Xenopus tropicalis: one gene and its partners. The protein of the gene in region 2 interacts with the protein of the main gene of each other region in a pairwise test. Links are inferred from orthologs where the notes say so. Each region holds a gene or a part of one and is shown on either strand. Other genes may lie near its edges.

Region 1 (6,312 bases), on a different chromosome or scaffold from region 2:
TTTGCCTTTCCATACAAATATCATCTATATACCATTTATAGACGACAATGGCACAGTGTCATAATAACTAAGTTCATAGACCGAAAGGGATTGAACATTAGGTGGGATGTGAGTTGTCATGGGTAAGCATTGCTTAGAGGTAACTATTTAGGATTGATATGTCTTTAAATAAAAAGAAAGGCGAGAGGAGAAGTGATAAAAAAAAAAAAAATGAAATGGCATAGGGAAGGAAAAAAAAAAGTTGTTTTTTTTCTTTGAGATATAGTTAATTCTGGGAAAAATAAAACCTTATATTCTAGCCATTTAGGAATATGGGTTGAGTTCATTATCTAGCCAAAGACCAGATTTGGGGTTTTTAAAATTTCTTTTAAGATCATATACATTTTAGGTTATTTTTACCTAAACATTAAAAAAATAGTATCACCCCACTTTCCAGGTGTTTAATGGACCAGCAAATAAATAGCTCCATCAACAAAAAAATCAGTTAAATGTAGGGGTACCTTTCCAAAGACAAAGGAGAGATCTGCAATGGATTTTTTTGTTTTGATTTTTTAATTAATAACAATAAAATAGCACACGCTGCCCAAAACTTATTTTTGCATATAGTAATAGTATATTACAGTAATAATATAGTAACAGTCTCAGCAACTTTCCAATATACATTACAATTTTTAATGGCTTTAAAGTTATTTGTAAATGTAATTCCACAGAACTTCTTGACTGAAAATTTGTAATTTATGTTGAAGTTTATATTTCATTCCCTGCTTCAGAAGATTTCCTGTCTTGGAATCAGAAGCGACTCAAAAGTAGTGCATTTTGCAGGTTAGGGTCAGGTGTGCATTTTACGTTTTAGGGTCAGGTGCCGGTAGTTTTTCCTCACCCACACATCACTTATTTCCTTTCATTATGCAAAATACATTTAGGGGTGAAGGACTCCTTTTTCTACAGTTTTTTATAATTAAAGTACCAAAATTCAGCCTATTAAAAGGATTGTTCACCTTTACGTTAACATTTAGTATGTTATAAACAACTTTTCAATTAGCCTTATTTTTTCTTCTTCTGACTCCAGCAGCCAATAAACTTTTGTTCTGTATAGCTACAATTTTATTGTTATTGTCACTTATTATGTTTCTGTTCAGGCCTTCTTCTCCTTATTCACATTATAGTCTCTCATTCAAACCACTCCCTGGTTACTAAGATAATTTGCCCCTAGCAAACAGCTACTGAACTTCCAAACTGGAGAGGTGCTGAACAAAAAAAAATTAAATAATTAAAAACTATAGATAAAAAAAATAGAGATCAGTTTCAAACTGTCTCAGAATATCACTCTCTACAACATACTAAAAACTAATCTAAAAGACACAAAGGAAGGGTAAAACCTCTACTCTATGATGATGAAATACACCCATAATAAGAGGCAATGAAATGGCAACCTATTTTCTAGCAAAGAGGGGTGCTGCCACCTAGTGTTGTGATAAAGGTTATTTGTAAGAGCATTTGCTAGTGCACCACCACATGCAAGCCCACCAGCAAGTGACATTTTAGATCAGGGGTGCACAAAAGGTAGATCGTTTGTCTACCAGTAGACCACTTTAAAGTTTTGGGTAGACTTTGAGGTTGAATGCAGTAGGACGACATCCGGCAACTTCATTTTCCCCCCCAGCATACTGGAGCTTTCGAGTGCGGTTGCCCAAGCCTTCCGTCTTTGATTGTCCCAACCAGGCTGCGCTATATCTATATCTATATCTATATATATATATATATATATATATATCTATATATATATCTATATCTATATCTATATCTATATATATCTCTATATATTTCTATATCTATATATATCTATATATATCTATATTCCTCCCTGAGGAAAGCTCCTGTGTGGAGCTGAAACATCGGATTAATAAAAACCATGTAAGACATTTGCTTTGTTAGATTCTTTTTTGTTTTATTTTTGACAAATACTAACGAAAATCCTGTGAGTGCTAGCCTTTATTGCAATTGTACTTTATTATTTGATTTGCATTAGCACCCAGGCAGTGACCCCTTTTAGTCTTGTAAAGAATCGGCACTCACCAATATCGGGGCAAAGGCTGGGTGCTGACAAAAATAATGCATCAAACTCAACAGTAGAAAGCACTCACAGCTACAGCATCAATCAGGTCAGTGATTTATTTCAGCATACCATCTACGCGTTTCGATCACCACAGGATCGTCATCAGGATGATGATATATATATATTTGTTCCTACTTTATATATGTTTCTGTGTGCAGACTACAAAGTGGGCCATAAAGAAGGGAAGTAAAAACTACTACAATCCTTCCACATTGAACTTGAAGTTGGCACTTGAATAATGTTATTTGGGCATTAAATATGAAGTTGGAACTGCATTTAAATATTGCTATGTGTCATCGATTGATACTTGTTTATTGTGCCAAATGATAGACGTTGCACAATTTTAACTGTGGTAGATCTCATGATGGAGGCCAAGTGGCAAGAGTAGATCACAGGGTGACAAAGTCTGGGCACCCCGGTTTTAGATCATCCCTATCTGTTATCCAGAACCCTTGGGACAAGGAGGTTTACAAAGGGTATAAAAAGAACTGTTTTGCAATTAATAGGTATTTATTCTAACTTGGTTATCATTACGCCAATGTCTAATTATAGACAAAAAGCAAATCTTTAAAACAAAAAACCCCATAAACCCTGTTAGTTGAAATGAAATGGCTTTAAAGTTTTTCTGGAGTTTTCTAGACATCTGTTTTCTGGGTAACAGATGCCAGAAATTTATATGTTATAGGATATGTTATGAATCTCTCTTACGTGCATGACTTTCAATGAATTTGTCGTGTTCATATGGCCCCAATATCCTGGCAAATCTCCTCATTGCTTCATAAAGCTCTTGGACATGCTTGGGATACCGTCGTTCTAAAACTAAGAAACAATAACAAAGTATGTTATTCAATAGTGTACAGAAGGAGACATTCAGACACCAAAAACAAGTGCAAGAAAATATCATATAAAAGCAACATATTGCTATCACTTCATTACTAGGATTTTAAACATGCCAATAAATATATCTTAAAGGGCACCTATCGTATCAAAATCGTTTCCCTCACCATGTGGGCTAACAGAGTATTTTTTTCAAGAAAGCCCTCCAGACATGCGCTATACACATTCCACCACAAGGGAGTTCCTGGTGAGGAGACCATGTTTCGGCACACACGTGAACACGAGTGCTCAATATATGCATGTGTTTGACACAGAATCGACTGAAAAGTCTCCAGGACTTAAATTCATTTGTGTCTGCCATACATAGGCAAGAGACAACAATTGAAAAACAGCAAGTTGCAAAATATCCTATTCTTAAAATGTTTTTCCCTTGGACATACCAGCTGTTGCGCTGTCAGTCAGTGAGGTTACTTGGCCATAAAGGCAGCTTATACAATGAGAAATAGAAACATATTCAATACATAACCCCCAACTTTTAAAAAATTTTTTTAAACATTAGCTAAATCCAATAGGATTGTTTTGCCCCCAAACAGATTCATGCTGCTTAGTTAGAATAAAATACATAGTACTATTATTATTACAGAAATGAAATGGTTTTTTTTAAAAAGGACTCTATAGTGTGTAGGGTTCTCATCCGTCTCCATTTCCTGAGGACAGGCGCCATTTTGACACCTAGATCCGTAGGAAACATCCCCATTTGCTGCCAATAACACAAGTAAATCTGACAGACAAAGGGGTTATTAATGGTTAACTTATCTATATTTGAAGGTAAAATCTCAATGTATTGAAAGCCTTAATTACTTAAGTCAAATATTAATAGTTCCAGCAAGTCATGTTTCTGCCTTGCTACAGTATGTAAACTTTCCATTGTTTGTGGTGTGGGGTTGTGGATTCTTTTTGTCCTTCAGGTTCAAAATTCTTTTCCTACAATTTATGCATGTATATAAAAATTAGGGGTGCACCAAATACAGGTTTTCAGTTTCTGGATTTGGCCAAGATTCTGCCTTTATCGGCAGGATTTGTACAAATCCATGCTCCTGGTTGAACTGAATCCTAAAAATCATGTGACTTTTTGGCATTTAATCACGGAAATTGAAAATATCTTGCCTCGCTCTGCTCACAGCGAGATTTAACCCTTCCAAAACCTTATTAGCATATGTTAATTAGAGTTTGGATTCGGTTCAGCCGAATCCTTTACAAAGGGTTTGGGGGTTCGGCAGAATCTAAAAGTGGATTCAGTGCATCCCTAATACAAACGAGTGGAAAGCATGGAATCTTATACATAACTTAAATGGCAAGCCATCTTAATGTATTGCTGACAGGGTTCTAATAAGTTCAATTCGACCATATGTTTAAAGGAGACATATCCTATAAAAATTATGAATGTTCCAATGAATTATACTCCTCTAGATATAGAAGGATTGGGCTTAAAAATGTTGTGTTTCGAACTGATTTTTTGAGAAATTCCACAAAAACCCCACTAGCCTCGCCCATCTGTTCCACTTCCTGCTGGCTGAATTCTCTGGATGAGCTGGGGAGCCGGCGGCCCTCCGTACACTGCACTGTAGGATAGGAACCAATCAGCAGCTAGGCTGACCTGATAGGGAACTGAAGCCTGTCTTTGCTTGTGTGAGTGCAGGGCTGTGATTGGCTCTCCCCCTCCTACTGTGCTTCTGGCAGGGACCGTTAGGACACACCCGCTCTTCATTTCACACTGGACAGAGAAGTGATACGATCTATAGGGAGCTCTAATAAAGGGGCCATTTTTACAGATAGGATTAATTTTTAGCCCAAAGGGAAACCAGCACCGTATATTATTCATAATTGCCTACAAAATTAGCGTTTTTTCCCATTTATCCAATATGTCTCCTTTAATAATTACTAGCTGAAGATGTGCTTCTCCATATGTAGAACAGCAGAAGCCTAGGTTTGCTCATAGCTAGTGCAGAGATATCATAAAGCTATGCCAGTATAGGCCATTCTTCAGTTTTTCATCATCAATTTTAAATCAGAGATAAACAAACCATAATTTTTGGATTGACTGACCAAATACTGAAACCATGAATTTGTGTATTAATTCGAAAATATCCTTGCAGTTCAGCCAAATCCTAAAACAAATCTTGGATATGGTGCTACGCTATTTGCAAAAATGCTACTAGATTAAAAATTTATTAAGCATAAATGTGAGGATAAAAGAACACTTACTTTGAAATTTCCTAAGATTTATAAGGCCATGCTCTCTTATAATTCTGAAATGTGAAAACAAAAATGTATTTTAGCAAGTCTCTTTTCTGTAATAAAACAATGTTTCAATTCCAAGGCAATGATTGCCAAGCAAAAAGGGGATGTAAAGTCATCCCTTTAGGTTAAGGATTATGATAGAATTTCTAAAAACAAGAAACTTTCCAATATACATGCTTTGTTTTATTCTCACTGTTCTCTAAATAATCAATTGATTTCCTTTGCTGCCACAGGCAGCCTCAGTCAGTCCATTGCTTTGTTGCTGCAGTAATCCTATCCCTCTCTTATTGCTCAGTCCTCTGTGTGCAACAGGAGCCAATCAGAGGCAAGTATGCTCGTTTGCTGCCTGTGTATTCTCTGTTCCAACTGGCCGTGGCTACACTGAGAGATAAGAACAGCCCGCAATTGCCCAAGTTTCTTGTACAGCTGAGGCAGGGCTGGCTGAGGCTGCTTGTTATCTTCACAACTGTAAGAATAAAATAAAGCATGTATATTGGAAAATTGCTGGTTTTTACAATAATGGGATGAGTTTACATCTCCTTTAAAAAGTAGATTATGATCTACCACTAGACCTGGTGTTCAGCATTATCTACCAACAGTACCATTAAATCAGTGATCCCCAACCAGTGGCTCATGAGTAACATGTTGCTCCCCACTCCCTTGGATCTAAGTAACCTCAAAGTAGGGGCCCCATTTTTAAATCTGTGTCTTGGAAGCAAGTTTTCAAAGCAAAGCACATTTTTTAGACAGTTTTACTCCAACCAGAGCCTCTTACAGGCAAAAAGTCCACATCAGCCTACCAAATCACAGCCCTTATTTAGTATACTCAAGGAACGTTATTCATGCTTGTGTGGAAAAAAAATAAAAATTGTGTTCCCTGTATTAGATCATCTTTATAGGCACTCTTCATTCTTAAAATAACGATTCAGCAAATGAGTACTGATATGGATTATGAAAAGGGGACTGAAATGTGGCTTTTTTTTTTTTTTTTTTTTTTTTTTTTTAGAGTAGTTCAAAGATGATAATTTTTTTATGTGAACTACTACTTCAGGCTGTGA
Region 2 (6,312 bases):
TAATGTAAATATAAATCTACAAGTAACAAGCAGGGCAATATTCATCTTACTGGTGGCAAGGACTGGACAATGTCGCTGTGATAAATGTATCCTGTATGTGGCAGCACCGAGGTGCTGGAGAAACCAGATAATGTTTTCCTCTGAGCTCCCAGCAGCATGACATTACAAGCTGGCATCTTCGAGAGATTGGTAAGACCTCCAGCAATACCTGCAATTGATAATTACAGAAAAAAAATATATATTTTCAAGTGACCCTGACACATGAAATAAATAAATATACATAATTAAAAACCTTTCTGTATCGTGTGTTAACCATTTTATCAAGTGAATAGAAATAAACTGACAAAGCAGAAGAGCAGCTAACTAGGTCAAGCAAATGACGCCTCCATACTTTCAGCCAGTTTGGGAAGGAGGGGCCTGCAAGCCAAGCATTGCAACCAACAAATATTGCGTTCATACAAACAAACAAACTGGAAGTTCTTTACTGAAAGGCCCTCCTCTAAACGGACTGTGTAAAGTTCCCACTACCACCCAAGCAAGCTACCCCTGTGCTGAGATATAGATATATATGGAGAAGGAAAGTTTAAATCACTGGGTTAAGATCACTTACCCAATATCCTGGGCTGGTGCTACCTGTTCTGTAAAAAGTGCATTGGCCCGGGTATTTCTGCAGAAAATCCTTGTAGCCATCGATCCATGGTGCATGCGAACTGAAAAGCAGACTCTTTTACACTAGAGCACATTTGCATGCCCGTGTCCAGTGTGGGGAAAAAAAATTGTGCCAAAGAGCTTCTGCAGAAGTAACCCTGGGACAGGGCAGTTTTCTACTAACAGGAGCACCAGCCCGAGGTAACAGGTAAGCCATTACACTGGGGGGGGGGTGCCTAATATTTGGTAATTTAGTTTTTCCTTCTCCTTTAATAAATACTCTTAGAAGCAGCTATTGTGTGCCCTAAGCTGTAAATAAAAGCATTTTATCTATTTACTAAAGTTCTGCCAATGGTTTACAGAACAGATTTTTTTGTGCAGAAGAGTGAAGATATAAAACAATCTTGGCTAAAATAAAAACAAACACTATGACACTTTACCCATGATCTTGGCAGCAGTGGAGGCCCCGACAATGATGGAGAGGTTAGGAGCAATGAATGACATACGAGATTCCACATACTCATAAATTCTGTGTTTGGATTGGTTGAGTTCTAGCGCCATATCACACGCTTCTTCAATTCGTTCCAGTTCTTCATCTGTTAATTGCTGCCTGTGTAGATCAGAGGAACTTACTTCTTATTTTCATCCCAAACACTGAAAAAGTTATAGTATAGTAACAGATATATGAACTTACCCCTGAGTTGTGGAGGCTGTCACACTTACAACCATGATAGTTGCATTGGTCAGAATTTGCTGAAGATTCTCATTGTTTTTGCATTTATCCAGATTGTTCCCTAGCTCCTACAACACCCAAATAAGATGTTATTATTTTTGATATTTATATAGCGTAAACATATTCAGCAGCACTTTACAGAGATAATATACATTCTCATCAGTCCCAGTCTAAGGTCCCTATAAGTTTCAGGCATAGTAGGGTCAATTTTATCAGGAACCAATTACCCTCCTTGTATGTCTTTGCAGTATTAAAAGAAAGCAAAGTACCTAGGGGAAACCCACACAATACTGATGATTTTGTTAGGCCCCAAGCTAACCTAAAAACTGAAGAAAAATAAATGTGAAAGTTCATAAAGTGGTGCCATAAGTAGTTTACTGATGTCACCTAATGCTAAGTTTATTGTCACTTCATGTACCCCATATATGTTTATGGTTCATACATTTTTCATTTAACATTTTAAGAAAAGTTTGGGTCCAGCTTAATAAATCTTTATACAAATTACCTTCTCTATTCAGTGTATGTTCCTACATACTGTTATACTACACACTGTGTATCCAGACATCACCATTATACCATAACTATATACACACATGCACAAAATACAATCCCCCTTACTGAAAGACACACAAACTAACCACTTAGTATCCTCATGCACACAAATCACCTACCTTCACAGTCCTTATATAATCCAAAGCATTAGGAACTAAGGACTCCAGCTCAGGAAACCTCTTGGAATATTTGTCCCGAATAAATTTGTGAATGATATCTAAGAAGATATAATATAGGTTTTAAGAGCGTACACTCCCATATATACTGTACACAAGTGCTATAGATGTTCTAACATAGTATCTGCAGTTTCCTATACAAAAGGGTTGTACATAAATGTAGCACTTATTTTACTAAATCATCACCTCAGATTATTGAAACATTGCACTTTCTACCAACACGGAGAATACAGTCAGATGCACTTACTTAGCTCATTTTCAATCTCCACAGTCAGATTGTTAGCATCAACGATAACTTTGTACTCTGGAGCAGCTTCAACAGGGCCCATTACTAAAAAAAATAGAAACAGAATAAAATTCAAATTACCAGTGCAGTCAAAACTACATTCTTGCTTTGTTTCTGTTTGAGAATCTATATGCAATGTTGCTGTTTGAACCAGTTTACATCAATAGATCACATATATTGCTAATTTCACTGGGCTAAATGGAAGGTCGATGAGTAACAGCATTCATTCATTTACATAAACGCCTCCTCGGGAAGCTAATCATAAAACAAACACAGGCATATTTAGTCTGAATATGCTTATATTTTCCAGAATTCTTACTTGTGTCACTTTAATGAAACACAGCAGTATGCCAAACCAATGAGTTCATAGAGAAAGTAATGAAATTAACCACTGTGCCAATTTATAACTATACCTTTTTATATGAAGAACTGGCAATATACAATAATTTGCAGTCTGCCATCATTCATCTCTTTTTTAATAACTGGGAAAACTGCAGTTTAGATTTAAAAACGAAGAACACTTTTTTGAAAAGATGTGTAATAAAACATGTAATATAAAATACCAATTAAAGTCTAGCCTCCACATCAATCTGTTTTGTATACCAGGGTTATGGATATTTCAAATTTCAGGCATGAGTGAGGCAGAATAAGTCATCCCATTCAATAACCATTAACATCACACCAAAACATGAATTATTATAATATCTTTCCCTTAAAGCCACACAAACTCATGCAGCTGCCTTTCACTCTACAGCACAATACAATGTGAGTTTCTTTATATTGCAATCCTTTTCGGTTGGTAACTCTTTGTCTCTGTTATTAACAGTCCACATGAAAATTATTTGAAGATATTTTAGGTACTCTGGCTTGAAATTTTGGAGTTAATGCCATGATTTAAATGATACCTTCAGAAGCCTTTGGTTGCTTTTTGATGTATCCGTCAATCTTTAAAAGGATTTCTGAAAACTGAAAAAATGCATCATTTATTTCACAATGTGGTTATAACAGACTATATAGACATTTTGCTCCATCATTTTAAAAATTTTGTTTTCATTTATAAATATATATCAGAGAAAAAAATAAAACCCCACACATTAATATGTGTTAGAACCACTTTTTGCAGCACAGAAAGCACTAAGGGGCAATTTTATCAAAATGAGAGATTAGAGCTCACCAAAGAAAAATTAAGACACTTTCTATTCATTTTTATGTGATTTTTAGATTAATAGGTGAAAGTTAAAGTTCACCACTTGATAGATGCACTTACGAAAATCCCATAGGAATGAAGAGAAAGTGTGTGAATTTTTCTCTGGTGAGTTCTAATCTCACATTCTGATACATCTGCCCATAAGTGTTTGTGGGTAAGTAGGTGCCAGTTTTGTACACTGTTCCATTCATCAGCCATTCTTCCAGGCAGATTAGCTATAGGTTTTACAAGTTAGTAACTTGCCAACAAATGTAGCCCTCAACTGTAAGATGATCCATACCTAAAGTGAAGTTTGTTGGTGGCAGAATCCTGCTGTGGGCCTGATTTTCATCAAAAGAAACTTTGCATATTTAATGTAGAGCAGAAGGATGTAATGAGGGGAGGGAGAAACAACGCTCAGTTAAAGAACGGATATTGATCCAATAGAGAATCTATGGCAGATATCTGATCTGTGTCATCTGAGTACAAAGCTGGCACATACTTAACCCATACATACTTGCTATTGCTGCAAAATGCTTCCATAGAATATCAGAGTGCAAGGAAATAGCACCCCTACCCTTAATGCGGTGGTGGAAAAACCAATAGTAGAGACATCAGTGGACAAAAAAAAAAAAAAAACAACTGAAAAAAAAGGAATGCATGTTTTTGCAAGCTGTATCCTTATTGACCATTAAAGGCATTAGTCCATTTGCTGGGTATCCAAGACCTGTCTCGCATACATTGGAAACAGGTTGTGAATTTATCCTCCTACTTTTTATCTCACGATGTTTTGACAAATTGCTTATTTGTGCATATAGACCTCTTTCATATGGACTTAAGCACTATAAAAGATCACTTCTTACTACTACACTGTTTTTTGCAGCAATGTACCAAAGTATTTTGAGGAGGGGTCTGTAAGTTCTGTATTCTCTTAATATGTCTCAAGAGTTAAACATTAGATATTTTTTGGTTCAGTTGTTTTTTTTTTTAGATAGAACACCAGAAATAAAAACTTAATACAGTTGCCCCATCCTTAGGCTGCCCCAGGTAGAGATAAGGTGAAAAATGAAACATCAGTTTCAAAAAGAAAAAGTGTAAAATATAAGGTGTATACAGAGCAATATATCTAGATCACAGACTCACCAATTTACTATCCGATAGCTTGGCAATGCTTTTTACTGATTCTGCATTTAAGTCCACTTGCATCTCCTCCTGCACCTCTTCAATGGTCTCCAAATCATCTTCGTCAATCAAGTTCTCCTCTTCTTCTTCTGCTGCCTCCTCAAGGTCAGCCAATAATTCATCCGCCAGAGACATCTTGTATTACTGGAAAAAAGATATATATTTGCATCTCCCTATTTACATTGGTTTAAAAGGTGCCAAATAAAACTGCAAAAGTCCCAGGATCATCCACTGCTCATTAAATAATCAGAGATATGTCCTTTCCTACTAAGAAGACATCCAGTTCATTTGATCTTTATCAGTTAAACTTTTCTGCAAAAATCCTACCCGGCTTTTTCACAATGCTCTATGCCAGATTCTCAACCATTGGCTCATGAACACCTTGCTCTTCCACCCAGTTTAATGTTGCTCCCAATGGCCTGTAGTAGGTGCCCAATTTTAAATTTCTGGCTTGGAGGCAAGTTTTGGAAGCAGAAAGACAGTTTAACTCCAAGCAGAGCCTCCTGCAGGCCGGCAGTCCACATGGGGCTACCAAATAGCCAATCACAGCCTTTATTTTCCATCCCCAAATAATTTTTTTTTTCAGGTTTGTGTGGCTCACCAATACTTTTTACATGTGAATGTGGCTCACAAGTAAAATGCTTGAGAATCCCTGCTCTATGCAGAAAAGAAGGAAACAGGGGAGCCTGCCCAGTCAGTATGGCAGGATGAACTAATCAGCTAAAGGAATAAGGGTGTTTCTTTAAGCAATGGAATAATGCTGCCACAAGGTAAAGCTTTCCCATACACCCGAAAACAATGCTTAAAGGGGTGGTTCACTTTTAGGTTAACTTTAATTGTGTTACAGGATGGCTTATTCTTTGCAAATTTTCAATTGGTATTGGTATGTTTTATTTGTACTAGTTTTTAGTTTTTGAATTATTTATCTTTCTTTTCTGACACTTTCCAGCTTCCAAATGGGGACACTGGCTCCAAAGGACAAAAAACTCTAGCTCTGTGAGGCTACGGTATTATTGTTGCTGTTACTATTTATTACTCATCTTTCAATTTAGGCCCTACTCTATTCATATCCCTTTTCTCTCTTTCAAACCACTGCCTGGTTGCTAGGTTAAATTGGATCCTAGCAACCACATAGCCTGCTCAAATAACTGGAGAGCGGCTGAACAAAAAGCTAAATAATTCAAAAACTAAAAAAAAAGAAGAACAGCTGCAAATTCTCTAAAATAGCACTCTCTACATCAGGGGTCCCCAACCTTTCTTACTCGGGAGCCACAGTCAAATGTAAAAAGACTTGGGGAGCAACACAAGCATCATAAAAGTTCATGGAGGAGCCAAATAAGGGCTAAGATTGGCTATTAGGCAGCCTCTATGTACACTATCAGCTTACAGGGGGCTTTATTTGGTAGTAAATCTTGTTTTTATCCAACCAAAACTTGCCCCCAAGACAGGAATTCAAAAATAACTCCCTGGTTTGGGGGCACTAAGAGCAACATCCAAGGGGTTGGGGAGCAACATGTTGCTCACGAGCCACTGGTTGGGGATCACTGCT
Region 3 (6,312 bases), on a different chromosome or scaffold from region 2:
GACAAAAATGGTTTTACAAAAATGTTTTACCTTTTATATCATAGCTATAAAGATTTTCAAAGCTCAGCATTAGGACAAACTCAGCTCTTATTTTAGCATTATCATTTTTCCCCAGAAAAAGGTCCCTACCCTTTCTCTCTTTTTCCTACCCTATGAAACGATTAGTGGAACTGCAACTCTCCTCCAAACTGTAAAGTTCTACTGTATCCCCAATATCAGATATAAGATCTCATACCCAGTGTTTATTTGTACATCATCTACTGTGTAGAACAGTAAATAAAGCAACTATGGTGTGGCCCACCTGCTTCTAGCTGCAACTCCTTTAAATCTTAGATTGGGCAAATTGTGATTTAATTCACAGCTAGAGGGACATCTCCTGATCATCTGCGACAGCTGGAGAGCCCCCTAGTTCCACAAGTACAGCTTTGATAGAAGCAGTTATAGCTCTGTGACAGATGGAGGGCACACTGGTCACATGGAGGAACATACTTTCTTCACATTATCCAATAGCATACATCAGAATTGCCTGTACACTTAACTGGAAGTAGTTATTCGGAGATAGCAGGAAGCCCGCCGTCTGATACATACTATTAAATAATTACATATTCCTAAATGTGAGCAGTGGCCCCACAGTTGTTACAAAAAAAAAAAGTCTGTACTATTGCCTAGACATGACTGACCTGAATGAAAAGTGTGTGACAGTTTAATCAGGCCAGGCACAGAGAGTTCTGCCTGTCATTCACTGACATTACCAGGTTATGACAATAAGCCGGTGGCTCCTCTGACTCCGAGACGTTCCAGGAGAGGAAGTGAAGGAGAGGGGCAGTGCTTAAACTAAAAGGAAAACTAGATCTAAAAAGGTATGCTAAGCTATACTAGCATGAATATTAGGCCAAGTGTAAAACCAAGGTAATCGTCCCCTTTAACACATATTTATAAACATTCCACAGTGCCATACAATAAATGGGTATTAAAAAAAAAACAAAACACCCACAACTACAACCGATACAAAAGACAGAGGGCACTGCCAAAAAGTTTCCAATCTAATATCTACAATCTTACAAATATGTATCAGAAACCCTGTAGACTCTTGAATCTTAAAAAATAAAAGGCTACCAACATGGACAACTTTAGGAATCATTTAAGCACTGCAAGAAAGTTGCTTAAGAGGCCTCCCAGGGACCCTTCTCTGCTGCCCTGAGTTATTTCAAAGATATGAAGGGTTAACCCCCCTCACCATCTGTACCCTCCTTTCTTTTATCAGGGGCTGTCACATTTCTCTGGCAGCAATCTCACCTTCTGCCTCTGATGAATACTCTGTAGATGCTCCAGGTCACCATTTATTTTCAGAATCTGTGTTTCTACTTCTTCTTTGCCTCGCATATTTTGGGAATTTCTTTGAAGTAGCTCATGAATACAGTTGATGATAGACACCAAATGCAATTTTCTTCCTTCTCCATTCTTGGATACAACTTGCACTGTTGGAAAGCCTAAGGTTCTAAGCTCCTATTTAGAGAAAAACATGTGTTATCATTCATTTTTTTCTGGTGGTATTTCAACTGTTAACAGCTTAGGTGTCCACAGAAAACATCCTTCTAAAGTAGACACAGGCAGAACTCAGAAACAACCTGTGTGCCAAAGCCCTTACACAATATGGGACCCATACCTGATCAATGTATGTAATGCACTGCTCTAGGTTGTCTTCGGTGCAGAAAGTATAAACGCTGTCAGACAGGTTATTGGCTACAGAAAGAGAAGGGGATTGTAGAAGACTTGGTGGAGAAACACGCTCAGAACTGTACTGTTGTAAAACCTTATCTGTAAGAAAAAAGATTTTTAGTATTTGGTATGTTTTCCATAGCTTATCATTTGGTATATTTTTATGGCTTAGAGCAAGTTAAGACCTCTCCACAGGTAGGGAAACAACTGGCTTGACACCATAGACATTTTCCTGAACCCATTATTTAGCAGAGATACAATGGGCAGCCAAAATTTAGGGCCTGTGCATATCCCTAAAGTGCCACAGAAGGGATGATTCCAGGCAAATGAATGTCTGGGTGTACCACTCTCAGTGTGAATGTGTTCTCCAACTCAGTGGCTTGTGTCTCCCTGAATTTCTGGCAGTGGGACCGTTTTAGATGGGGATAATGGCAATAGTACCTTTCAAAGTATATGGATTAGTAAAATAACAGGCAGATTAAATGACATGGAGGGTCGAACTGAGGGCCACAGCTAGACAGAGAGAGAGGCTACATAAACGTAGAGAAAAAATATATATGAGCATTAACAGAATTCTGTACTATGTTGTTAAGTTGATTATTTGCTCAATTTTGCATGGAAATACCTGATTCTGGCAAACTGATGGTTCTCCGGTCTCCCATAGCAATAAACATGAAATGAATATTATGGCAAAGAGTAGACCATGCAAAAGTTTGAAGGTATTACAGTCAAGCAGCCATTTCCTGGTGAAGTAAAACAAAAAACATTAGGATATTCATTCTGTACATTACTACATTTATGAATTAAATAAGTAGGAACTAACAACATTTAAATATTTCTGGGGGGGGGGGCTTCAAAATAAGCATTGGTTTAAAAGCAGTCTCAAAAACCACCTGCATTTACTGTACATATGGTATGTGCAAAAATCCACTCCAATCCCACTACTAAGATTAGGAAATAAAGGGTATCTATTCTCTATTCTCAAAGAACTGATTCCCCCATCAGAGGTGCAGACAATAGTTTGCTTCCTTAAAAATGCCCCTCTCCAGTGCAAAGTCACTTGCACCAAGATGGAGCTCCTGGTGTAGATGGCCATGTTTGGCAACACGTATGTACATAAGTGCGTCTCCCCACCAGTTTATGCGATTGATTTAGAAGCAGTGGGCATGCCCATGCTATTAAGTTACACCTGCCCTATATGTAAAGTGACAAACAGGTCCCCTCCTGTCAACATGTGCACATACTGAGCAGTTTCAGCCCACGTCTGCCTCTTTTCTGTCAGCAGAAAAAACATATTAGGCCTAAATTGCAAAGCCAAACAGAGGATGCAAAGAGCAAAAAAAGCTGCAATCTGCCATTTTTTAGCACTGGATCCAAATGCCAATACAATTTGCAAAAGTGCAAACTGTGTTAGTCAATGCAGGATCATAGAGGCAGGCAGGGGGAATAGTACAGCCCCCTACACTAACTTACACGTCATTAGTTCGTACACGGTAGGCAGCAGCAGGAGGTGCAGCCCACATCGGGCCCCTGTCCTTACTGCCTCCTAATGCTGCAGAAACTCCACACCTCCCTTAGCATTCCTACACGTGTACCCCCAGGAAGTAAACGACACCTATAGTATTCTATAGCCCTAACTGTCAATGCCTTTTACATGCATTTTCTTTACAAAAAAAACCTGCAAAAGTTTGCATCTGAGCCTCCCACAAATCAGCATTTCATGATCACATCAGTTTATGAAAGCATGAAATGGTCTTAGAACTGTATGTCTATATAAGTATTTGAAAAGAAAATCTACTGATTGAATTTTAAACTGAATATGTGTATTCTAAGTATTTCAACCTTTAATAGCAGGTGCTTGGGTTTTGCATCTCCCTTTGGATTAAGGAGGTCAGAGAGGAAAGATTTGTTCCATAAATAGATAGATGTCCAGTAACAAGAGAAAATCCACTTAAAGCTGCTACATTTTGTTCTTCTAATCCCCTATACAGATGGCTGGGCACAATTAGCTGCATACACAGGCTAGCTAGGTTTTAAATATCACTGACGAAGAAGAGCAGGCACAGGTTCCATGTCTTTTGTTTTGGTGTAGAAAGATGTGAACATGTGGAAGTTTTTTTTTTTTTTTTTTAAATTGCATACCCTGTAAGGAGAGTTGTAAATGGAATTGCAATAGAAAGCAGTATTTGACTCTTGAAACAATTCAGCAGAAATCAATTATCCTCCAAGTCTAATTCAATTTATTCAGTCAGAACCAGTGCAGATACTGCTTTCAACAGCAATTGCATGTACATATAAGGGAGAATGTTTAATTTAAAAATATTAATACATACATAATGTAAAGTTGCATAGTTTTTTGGATGGAGACCCCCAATTAAATGCTTTCAAGTTGCAAATTAATGTTTTCTTTAAAAGTACATGATATCTGTTACTTACAGTATGTGAAAAGCAAAGAAGAACACAAACGTGAGCAAGCAGCTATCTTCTACAGCACATAGCATATTGCACTGCATGATAAGGAGTTTACACTAAGCTTGACACAAACAGAGACCTCTCCCTTATGTTAAAGGTCAGTTAGGTCTGAACTGAGCTTCAAAATAGTCCCTGGTACAGTATGTTGAGTACACAGAGCTCTAAACAGCCCCTACAAGCTCAATAAGCAGCGACTGTCTAAAGCAAGGGTCCCCAACCTTTCTTACTCGTGAGCCACAGTCAAATGTAAAAAGATTTGGAGAGCAACACAAGCATCATAAAAGTTCATGGAGCTGCCAAATAAGGGCTAAGATTGCCTATTAGGTAGCCTCTATGCACACTATCAGCTTACAGGAGGCTTTATTTGGTAGTAAATCTTATTTTTATTCAATAAAAACTTACCACCAAGTCAGGCATCAAAAAATAACTACCTGGTTTGGGGGCACTGAGTGCAACATCCAAGGGGATGGTGAGCAACATGTTGCCCCCGAGCCACTGGTTAAGGGATCACTGGTCTACAGCATCTCACAGCAGCCCCTCTGGCATTTGCCAGTACCTACAGATTGCAAGTCCAGGCTTGAGGTGAGCTATGAGATCACAAGGGAAGCCAGGCTTGGCTGCAACTAAATAATAATGAACAAGCATTTAGAATGGCTATTATAATTTACAGTTCATAACAGGGAATCTGTATCTTGTATACAGGTTGACCCTATAGAAAGTGCTTTATGGCATTAATAAAACATATTAAGGATGTCATCACCCCATCTTCCCAGGCCCGGTGCCTTGGGGTTATCCTTGATTCTGACCTGTCCTTTACGCTTCATATCCAGTCACTTATCAAATCATGTCACTTTCACCTAAGAAATGTTTCCAAAATACGATCATTTATCACCCAAGATGCTGCCAAAATTCTTGTTCACTCTTATATCTCGCCTGGACTACTGTAACTCCCTATTAATTGGCCTTCCCCTCTCCCATCCATAATGAATACTGCTGCCAGGCTCATACACCTCTCCACCGCTCCAATCCCTGCACTGGCTTCCCCTACCATCCAAGATCCAAAAATTCAAACTAATGACTCTCACATTCAAAGCAGTTCATAACTCTGCCCCACCCTACATCTCTGAACTTATCTCTAGGTACCATCCAACCCGCTTGTTATCAGGCCCGGATTTGTGGAGAGGCCACAAAGGCCCGGGCCTAGGGCGGCAGAAGTTTAGGGGCAGCATGCCGCCCCGCCGCAAAAAAAAAATTTAAATTTGGCTCCCATACGGAGCAGTCGGGACCTCTCCCCACTGCTCCGTATGGGAGTTTTAAGGAGCGCATGCGCACTGGTGGGGTCGCTTTCGCGCATGCGCACTGGGGGCCGCGCTTTCGCGCATGCGCACTGGTGGGGAGGGGGCGACCGACAGGGGCGGCCTCGGGGCGCCCAAAACAGAAATCCGGCCCTGCTTGTTATGCTCCTCTACTGACCTGCTCCTCAAATCCTCTCTCATTCCCTCCTCACACACTCGCATTTAAGATTTTGCAAGAGCTGCCCCCCCTTCTCTAGAATTCGCTCCCACAAACTGTCAGACTTTCTCCCAATCTCTCTGCCTTCAAGAGATCTCTAAAAACGCATTTATTTAGAGAAGCTTACCCTAATCTAGTTTAACATAACCTCAGTATGCCGCTAAAAGCAAACACCTGTGCCACACCTCTCACAACTCTGTCACGCCCATTCCCACACATTGCATCTCAACCCTTTCTCCTTGTAGATTGTAAGCTCTTTTGGGCAGGGCTCTCTTCACCTATTGTATCGGTTATTGATTGCTTTATATGTTACTCTGTATGTCCAATGTATGTAACCCACCTATTGTACAGCGCTGCGGAATATGTTGGCGCTTTATAAATAAATGTTAATAATAATAATAATAATAATAATAACTGACAGAAACCGCAACATTTAACCCTTTTACTGCCAGCCATTTTGGTCAAAGCGGAACTTGTATTGCCAGACAGTTTTTGAACATTTTGCACTGTTTCACTTTAGGGGCCTTTCCTCGGGGGGACTTTTAGTTTACCAAGGAAAACAATATATCGTTTTTTTCAGAACAACCTAAGCTTTCAAAATATGGTAGA
Region 4 (6,312 bases), on a different chromosome or scaffold from region 2:
TTTCAACAGTGATGTCAGTCTGCAGTGTAAAGCCAACTATACAAGATCCTTGATGATATAAATAAAAAGAAGCAATAAAGAATAGGAGTCATTGCTGGGACCTCCATCTAAATATCTATAGGCATTTGATATTAGAGATTTTACGATATATTAGGATGAGGGAGAATGCTAAAAAAGCTGTGAACTCAACTCTACTCCAATGCCATTGCTAAAGCAAGGTTATTAATGTGAGATTGGCACTATTCAGGAAGATTTATAGATGTGGAGCAGTAAGTTAATACGTTGTATATTTGGAAATTCCCAACAAAAAGCTGAATGCTATGACTTTTAAAATACAAATTTAGGACATCACAAATAATGTCAGATCCACGAAAGGTTAAGAAGTTCTGGGCACTTATTTTACTGTGTAACTCATCACATCAATGAAAAATATTTAATTTCAGGATCTATGTGCTGTCACAGTATAAAAGACAAATACCTGTAGGTATTAATGCTATATATTGCTCCCTATGTTAGATAAATGCCTCAGAATCTAGGTGCAATATAGTATATTGGTCATGTAGGTTATTGTCCATAAAGGGACATCAGCACATTTGTAATTTCTACCTATACACTTAGGGGCTGATTTACTAACCCACGAACGGGTCGAAATGAGTCCGATTGCGTTTTTTTCGTAAAGATCTGTATTTTGCGTTTTTTTCGTATTTTTTGCGATTTTTTCGGCGTCTTTACGAATTTTTCGTTACCAATACGATTTTTGCGTAAAAACACGAGTTTTTCGTAGCCATTACAAAAGTTGTGTAAAATCTTGCGATTTTTCGTAGCGTTAAAACTTACGTGAAAAGTTGTGCCTTTTTCGTAGCGTTAAAACTTAAAAGGTGCGAAGTTTCGCGTAAGTTTTAACGCTACGAAAAAAGCGCAACTTTTTGCGCAAGTTTTAACGCTACGAAAAATCGCAAGATTTTACACAACTTTTGTAAAGGCTACTAAAAACTCGTGTTTTTACGCAAAAATCGTATTGGTAACGAAAAATTCGTAAAGACGCTGAAAAAATAGCAAAACATACGAAAAAGTCGCAAAATGTTCGTTTTCAAGTCGGAACTTTTCTAATTCGGGTCGGATTCATGGGTTAGTAAATCAGCCCCTTAGAATGTTGTACTACTTTTACAGAGGCACCTAGTTGATACAGTGTTTGGCTACGATGATGATTCTATGGATTCAGAAACCTCTTCTGTTGCTTCATATCGGACGGATCGAACACCTGCAACACCAGATGATGATTTAGATGAAGTAAGAAAAATGTCCTTGCAGATTACCCAAGGGTTTTTATGGATTTTCAGTACTGTATTCTGGATATATTTAGATGCCATTATGGCGGCAGTGAATGCACACAAATAATTAAAAGGCACTTTAAGATTAAGCTTCAGCCATTGTTATTTGCATTGACACCCTAAATATCAATAACAGCATAATGGTCAAGAATTTTGGCAGGTGCTAAATCAGATCTCACTTACAGCTTATACATTGTTGGAGCTCACCAATGCCCTCAAAACATTATTCCCTACTTTGGCCATACACAAAGGGGCACATTCATTAAAATATGACAGGTCCAATTACAAAAATTTTTTATTTTTTCCAAAGTTTACAACTTTTGCGTATCTTCTGCAATATTTACATTAATTTGCGCAACTTTTTTGTACTTTGCGACAATTTGTGAGACAAAATCGTATTTGTTGCAACAAGTACGAAGGTTTCGGATTCATTCAAGCTTCGGTATTGTGACTTTCCTTGGGCCAGGTTGGAGCTGCAGAGTGCCATTGAGCCCTATGGGAGACTTTCCTTGGGCCAGGTTGGAGCTGCAGAGTGCCATTGAGTCCTATGGCAGGCTTCCAAAATCATGCACTGAAGGTTCAGAAAGTCAGAAAGGTTTTCGCGTCGTTTACGATCGTTCGGATGCGAAAAGTTTGTAACTTTCGGATCGTTCCAGAATATATTCGCCCAAGCACAACACAAATTTTTTGCAAAATTATTGCACATCAGAAATTTTTGTATTTAATGCGAATTTTTCAAATCGTATTCGTAATTCATACATTAATGAATCTGGCCCCAAGAGTATTTTAAATGATGGAAGATCTACCTCCACTGAAGCTTCTGAGGATAAACACACTAGAAAGCAGTAGACACAAGTATACAGTACATACAAATTTTCATTACACCTTCCTCATGCTGTGCATATTTCACAAAATAACTCTAAGAACTAAATATATCTCCTATATCTTGGCTCCTTTATATGAGGCCACCCTTTGCTATTGGAATTTTTCCATGTTCAGACTAAAAATAATGTAGTTGTAGCAAGAATTATGTAAGTAGAGACCATCTTACAACTGATATTTTCACCTGTTGCATTTTCAATGAAAGGTACATTCACATCAAATCTATAAGTAATTATTTTTTGTCTATTCAAAGAACCTTGCAGCGGAGGAATCAGAGCTGCGATTTCGGCAGTTAACAAAGGAGTATCAGGCACTGCAGAGGGCATATGCATTGCTGCAAGAACACACAGGAGGCTTTACAGACGCTGAGAGAGAAGCAAAGGTATATCATGTCATTCAGATTTAGTACTGTGCCATTCAGTACAACCCCATCTACAGCTTAAATATTTGCCTGTGTTGAATTTCTTATTTTTATTCACATTTCTTAAATATGAAAGACATTTCTTATTGAAACACAAACTCCATGGAGATACCCAGGAAAGAATTCTTCTCTGTAGTAATAACTAATTGTAGCCAAATGGTATCAAAATGTATCATTTGTTGTATTTTATTAAAGAGGGAAAATGTTCAACACTGCTGAAGCCCATATATTATATAGATACTTTTAATAGGTCAGAAAGGAAGAATATTTAGATTTACTATTTTTGAGCAATAAAAAAAGTTTACGACTAACTAGATCTGATGAATATTTGCTGTGCTATGTGATTTACATCAAATACCTTTTTACTGAAGTGTATGGCAGCCTGTCATACTATTAAGATAATTACATTTTATTAGGATACATTTCACTTGGGTGTTGCTTTCACACAATAATGACACAGGGGGCTCTGTGGAGCAAAATACAGTTGCCTCTTGCAAGTCTGGACTGGGATTTAAAATAGACCCTGGCATTTAAGTACACAGAGCCATAACAGCCCTCATTGGCCCAATAAATAGTGACTATGGCATCTTACAGCAGCCACTCTGGCATTTGCCAGAATCCACAGATTGACAGTCTGGGCCTGAATTTGTGTTACCAGTAAAACCCTTGTCCTGGGGTGGATAGAGACTGCCTTGCTGGCTGTTGGTTTACCAAAAACATTTTTACACTGATCATAAGTCAGTTCACATGGAAGCTAATGGAAAGGATAACTTACATACCTTTGCTGGTTGGACTCTTCCAAAAATGTTGTCTCAATAACAAAACCATAGGATTTTTTGAAATATTACCTGCTACTATAACTTGAGTTACCCATTGGGACATATACTTTATAGCAAGTGTCACATGCTGTGTGAAAATGAATGAGTAATAAACGTGTGCAATGTATTTCGTAGGCGCAGGAGCAGATGCAAACAGAAGTTCTGCGCTACAAAGCAAAGGTTGAAGACCTGGAGAAAACACTGGCACAGAAGGGGCAGGTTGGTTAATTTCACTGCGTATATATTTTCTAAAACTGGTATTGTTAAGTAGATACATTTAATAAGAAAAAATAAAAGAGCACTTTTTTATATGGGCTAAAACATCTGTAACACAACAAAAGAGAGGAGGATGTAAATTCACTATCCAATAAGCTTTATAAGAGTCTTGGAACTTCAAAGGATGACAGGATATCAGAACCTTAAAAGAAACAGAACATCTTTCTAGTCATATGGAATTGTCTTCAAAAGAGAAGTACTAATATAGAAAATCTGCCATGTTCATTCTGAACAACTGTATTTTTTAGCTACATCATCATGGTGCCAGAATCACCTCTCCAGGCTTCATCTATGGCAAAGGGCTATTCTTCATATAGGTATCCATTTAAGAGTACAGGTTCCTAGAAAATGTACACATATTTTTATTGTTTTCTTATATTGCTAATGAGATAGCAGCAAAGCAACCACAGCCACACTAACAACCTTCAACGGTATTAACAACATAGGAGCCCTGTGTTGCCATGGGCAGATCCAAGGACCTGGGGCCTTATGACAACTGTGAAAAAATAATTTCTCTTGCGTCCTGGGGGACACAGGCACCATGGGGTTAAATCCCCTCCCATCAGGAGGCAGGACACTGTATAATTTTGATTTCTCTCCCCTATATAACCTCTTCCCCCACCCAGGTACCTCAGTTTTTTTAGTGTCCTCGCAAACAGGAGGTTGGACAGAAGAGTCTCTAGGAGACACAACTTGAAAGGATCACTACGGTTCAGGGCTTAGCCCTAACACCCGGGGTGGTACCTGAGGCAGCCTAGGCTGCACTCGCTGCGTCAGCCCCCTACGCTGGACGGCTCCTTGAGCCTGCTGCCTAGAAAAGGCAATGTACCCGACGGCCGCCCCCCCCCCTCCCTACAACGGGGGCCCACGGCACAAACCCGGGATTACAGAGGAGCATGAGGTCCCCTCTAGTCTCTTCTAACCCTCCGCACCGACCACAGGTAGCGAGAGTGAACAGGGGTTTACAGCCCCTCCTCACACACGGGAGATCCCAACCTCTCCCCCATACCTACATCTGGCAGGCGGAGGGTCAGGGTATCCTCCGGCAGCCGCCCCTACACTCTCACACGGCGCGCCTGCTGTGACGCAGCCGGCGAGAGAGTGAGGCAGAGGGAGCCCGGCAGGTAATGGATGGTACGCGCCTTCCGCACCCTCAATAACCGCACCGAGACTTCCGGCCGTACCGCCGGAAGTGCGCGCGGCTCACGTGACCTCCCCACATTCGCGCCCTCAGTCGGCTCCTCCCCTTCCGGCATCCGACAGAGCGCGCGCTCGCAGCTACGCTACACGGCAGCCCTGCTCCCAACGCAGTCAGAACGCCACAGGTCTCTCACCCTCCATATCTCCTCTTCCCTCTACCAGGCACAGATACGGTAAAAGGGTCACTAAGCCAACATGGCTGAGGGGTCAGGGGATGCACTATTCCTCAGAGGGGGGAAACAGGCGTCCAAAGTAACTTTCTTTGCATGTACTCAATGCAAGAAAAAGTTTAAGGTGGCACAAAAAGACCCAGTTTGTAAAGCTTGCACCACTGCTACCACGGATGCAGAGCAACCCACGCCACAATTAACAGACCAGGGGGAGAATGTACAGGCAGCACTACCCTCAACATCGGGCAATGTGGCTACAGAAGCCCCTGAGGCTCCAGCCTGGGCAGTTTCACTATCTAATTCCCAAGCTAATCTGCAGGGAATCCCACTATTAGCATCATCTCTAGATAAAATCCTAGACAAACTAGCATCTCCTAATGTAGTTAAGAGCACATCTAAACGCAAGTGCCCATTACCTAATGACTCTACTGCACCCTCCTCACCTGAGTCCCATTCGGACCAGGAAGGGCTCAGCGAAGGGGAATTATCCCACTCCGCATCAGAGGGCGACTCTGCCTCAACCGCCCAGGACTCTGCCAGGTCACCAAATGACCTGATTGTGGCAGTCCTTCAGGCCCTTAACATTGAGGATACTGACAAGGGGGCTAAGACCTCTAAGGGTCTATTCCGCAGAACGGCCTCGCACGAAATAAATTTCCCAGCCCATGAACAACTCCAAGCCATCATCCAGGAGGAATGGAACCTCCCGGAACACAAGTTCCAAGTCACCCGAAAATTCTCAAAACTTTATCCCTTTCCAAAAGAGGACCTGGGAAAATGGAGCACCCCACCTCTAGTGGATGCTCCGGTATCGCGGTTGTCAAAAGCCACCGCCTTACCCGTCCCAGACGCATCTGCCTTTAAGGACGCCACCGACAAAAAACTGGAAGGCTTCCTTAAAGCTATCTTTACCTCTGCAGGTACAGCCTTTAGACCCATTCTTGCCATGGCATGGGTAAGTCGGGCTCTGGAAGTGTGGTCTGACGCCATCCTCACCGGTCTACAGAGCGAAACTGCCATCGAGGACGTCGAGTCCGTCGCACTACACATCCAAGAGGCGAGTTCCTTCCTCAGTGAGGCTTCACTGGATGCCCTGAAGCTGCTGGCCCGCACATCCGCTCTCTCAGTAGCCGCACGCCGCTCCCTGTGGCTTCGACTATGGTCGGCTGACCTTAGCTCAAAAAAGTCACTTACCTCTCTTCCCTTCAAAGGTT

Evidence for each region. The genes of interacting proteins can lie anywhere in the genome.
Region 1: the proteins of prpf31 (region 2) and tada2a interact in binary tests that used the Homo sapiens proteins (3 or more experiments, as listed by UniProt). The two-hybrid records come from large-scale screens. The link is inferred for Xenopus tropicalis from reciprocal best matches to the Homo sapiens genes PRPF31 and TADA2A.
Region 3: the proteins of prpf31 (region 2) and ssx2ip interact in binary tests that used the Homo sapiens proteins (3 or more experiments, as listed by UniProt). The two-hybrid records come from large-scale screens. The link is inferred for Xenopus tropicalis from reciprocal best matches to the Homo sapiens genes PRPF31 and SSX2IP.
Region 4: the proteins of prpf31 (region 2) and jakmip2 interact in binary tests that used the Homo sapiens proteins (3 or more experiments, as listed by UniProt). The two-hybrid records come from large-scale screens. The link is inferred for Xenopus tropicalis from reciprocal best matches to the Homo sapiens genes PRPF31 and JAKMIP2.

Annotation. Positions count from the first base shown.
Region 1 is NC_030678.2:76,082,236-76,088,547, reverse strand, and holds part of tada2a (transcriptional adapter 2-alpha), read right to left. Parts: intron 5,263-6,312; coding exon 5,219-5,262; intron 2,936-5,218; coding exon 2,825-2,935; intron 1-2,824. UniProt on the Homo sapiens protein: Component of the ATAC complex, a complex with histone acetyltransferase activity on histones H3 and H4. Required for the function of some acidic activation domains, which activate transcription from a distant site. Binds double-stranded DNA.
Region 2 is NC_030683.2:104,951,582-104,957,893, forward strand, and holds part of prpf31 (U4/U6 small nuclear ribonucleoprotein Prp31), read right to left. Parts: intron 4,908-6,312; 5' UTR 4,899-4,907; coding exon 4,725-4,898; intron 3,362-4,724; coding exon 3,301-3,361; intron 2,441-3,300; coding exon 2,357-2,440; intron 2,151-2,356; coding exon 2,053-2,150; intron 1,450-2,052; coding exon 1,343-1,449; intron 1,259-1,342; coding exon 1,089-1,258; intron 209-1,088; coding exon 51-208; intron 1-50. UniProt on the Homo sapiens protein: Involved in pre-mRNA splicing as component of the spliceosome. Required for the assembly of the U4/U5/U6 tri-snRNP complex, one of the building blocks of the spliceosome.
Region 3 is NC_030680.2:77,496,377-77,502,688, reverse strand, and holds part of ssx2ip (afadin- and alpha-actinin-binding protein), read right to left. Parts: intron 2,463-6,312; 5' UTR 2,394-2,462; coding exon 2,345-2,393; intron 1,819-2,344; coding exon 1,667-1,818; intron 1,507-1,666; coding exon 1,297-1,506; intron 1-1,296. UniProt on the Homo sapiens protein: Belongs to an adhesion system, which plays a role in the organization of homotypic, interneuronal and heterotypic cell-cell adherens junctions (AJs).
Region 4 is NC_030679.2:43,572,928-43,579,239, forward strand, and holds part of jakmip2 (janus kinase and microtubule-interacting protein 2), read left to right. Parts: intron 1-1,170; coding exon 1,171-1,290; intron 1,291-2,466; coding exon 2,467-2,595; intron 2,596-3,587; coding exon 3,588-3,671; intron 3,672-6,312.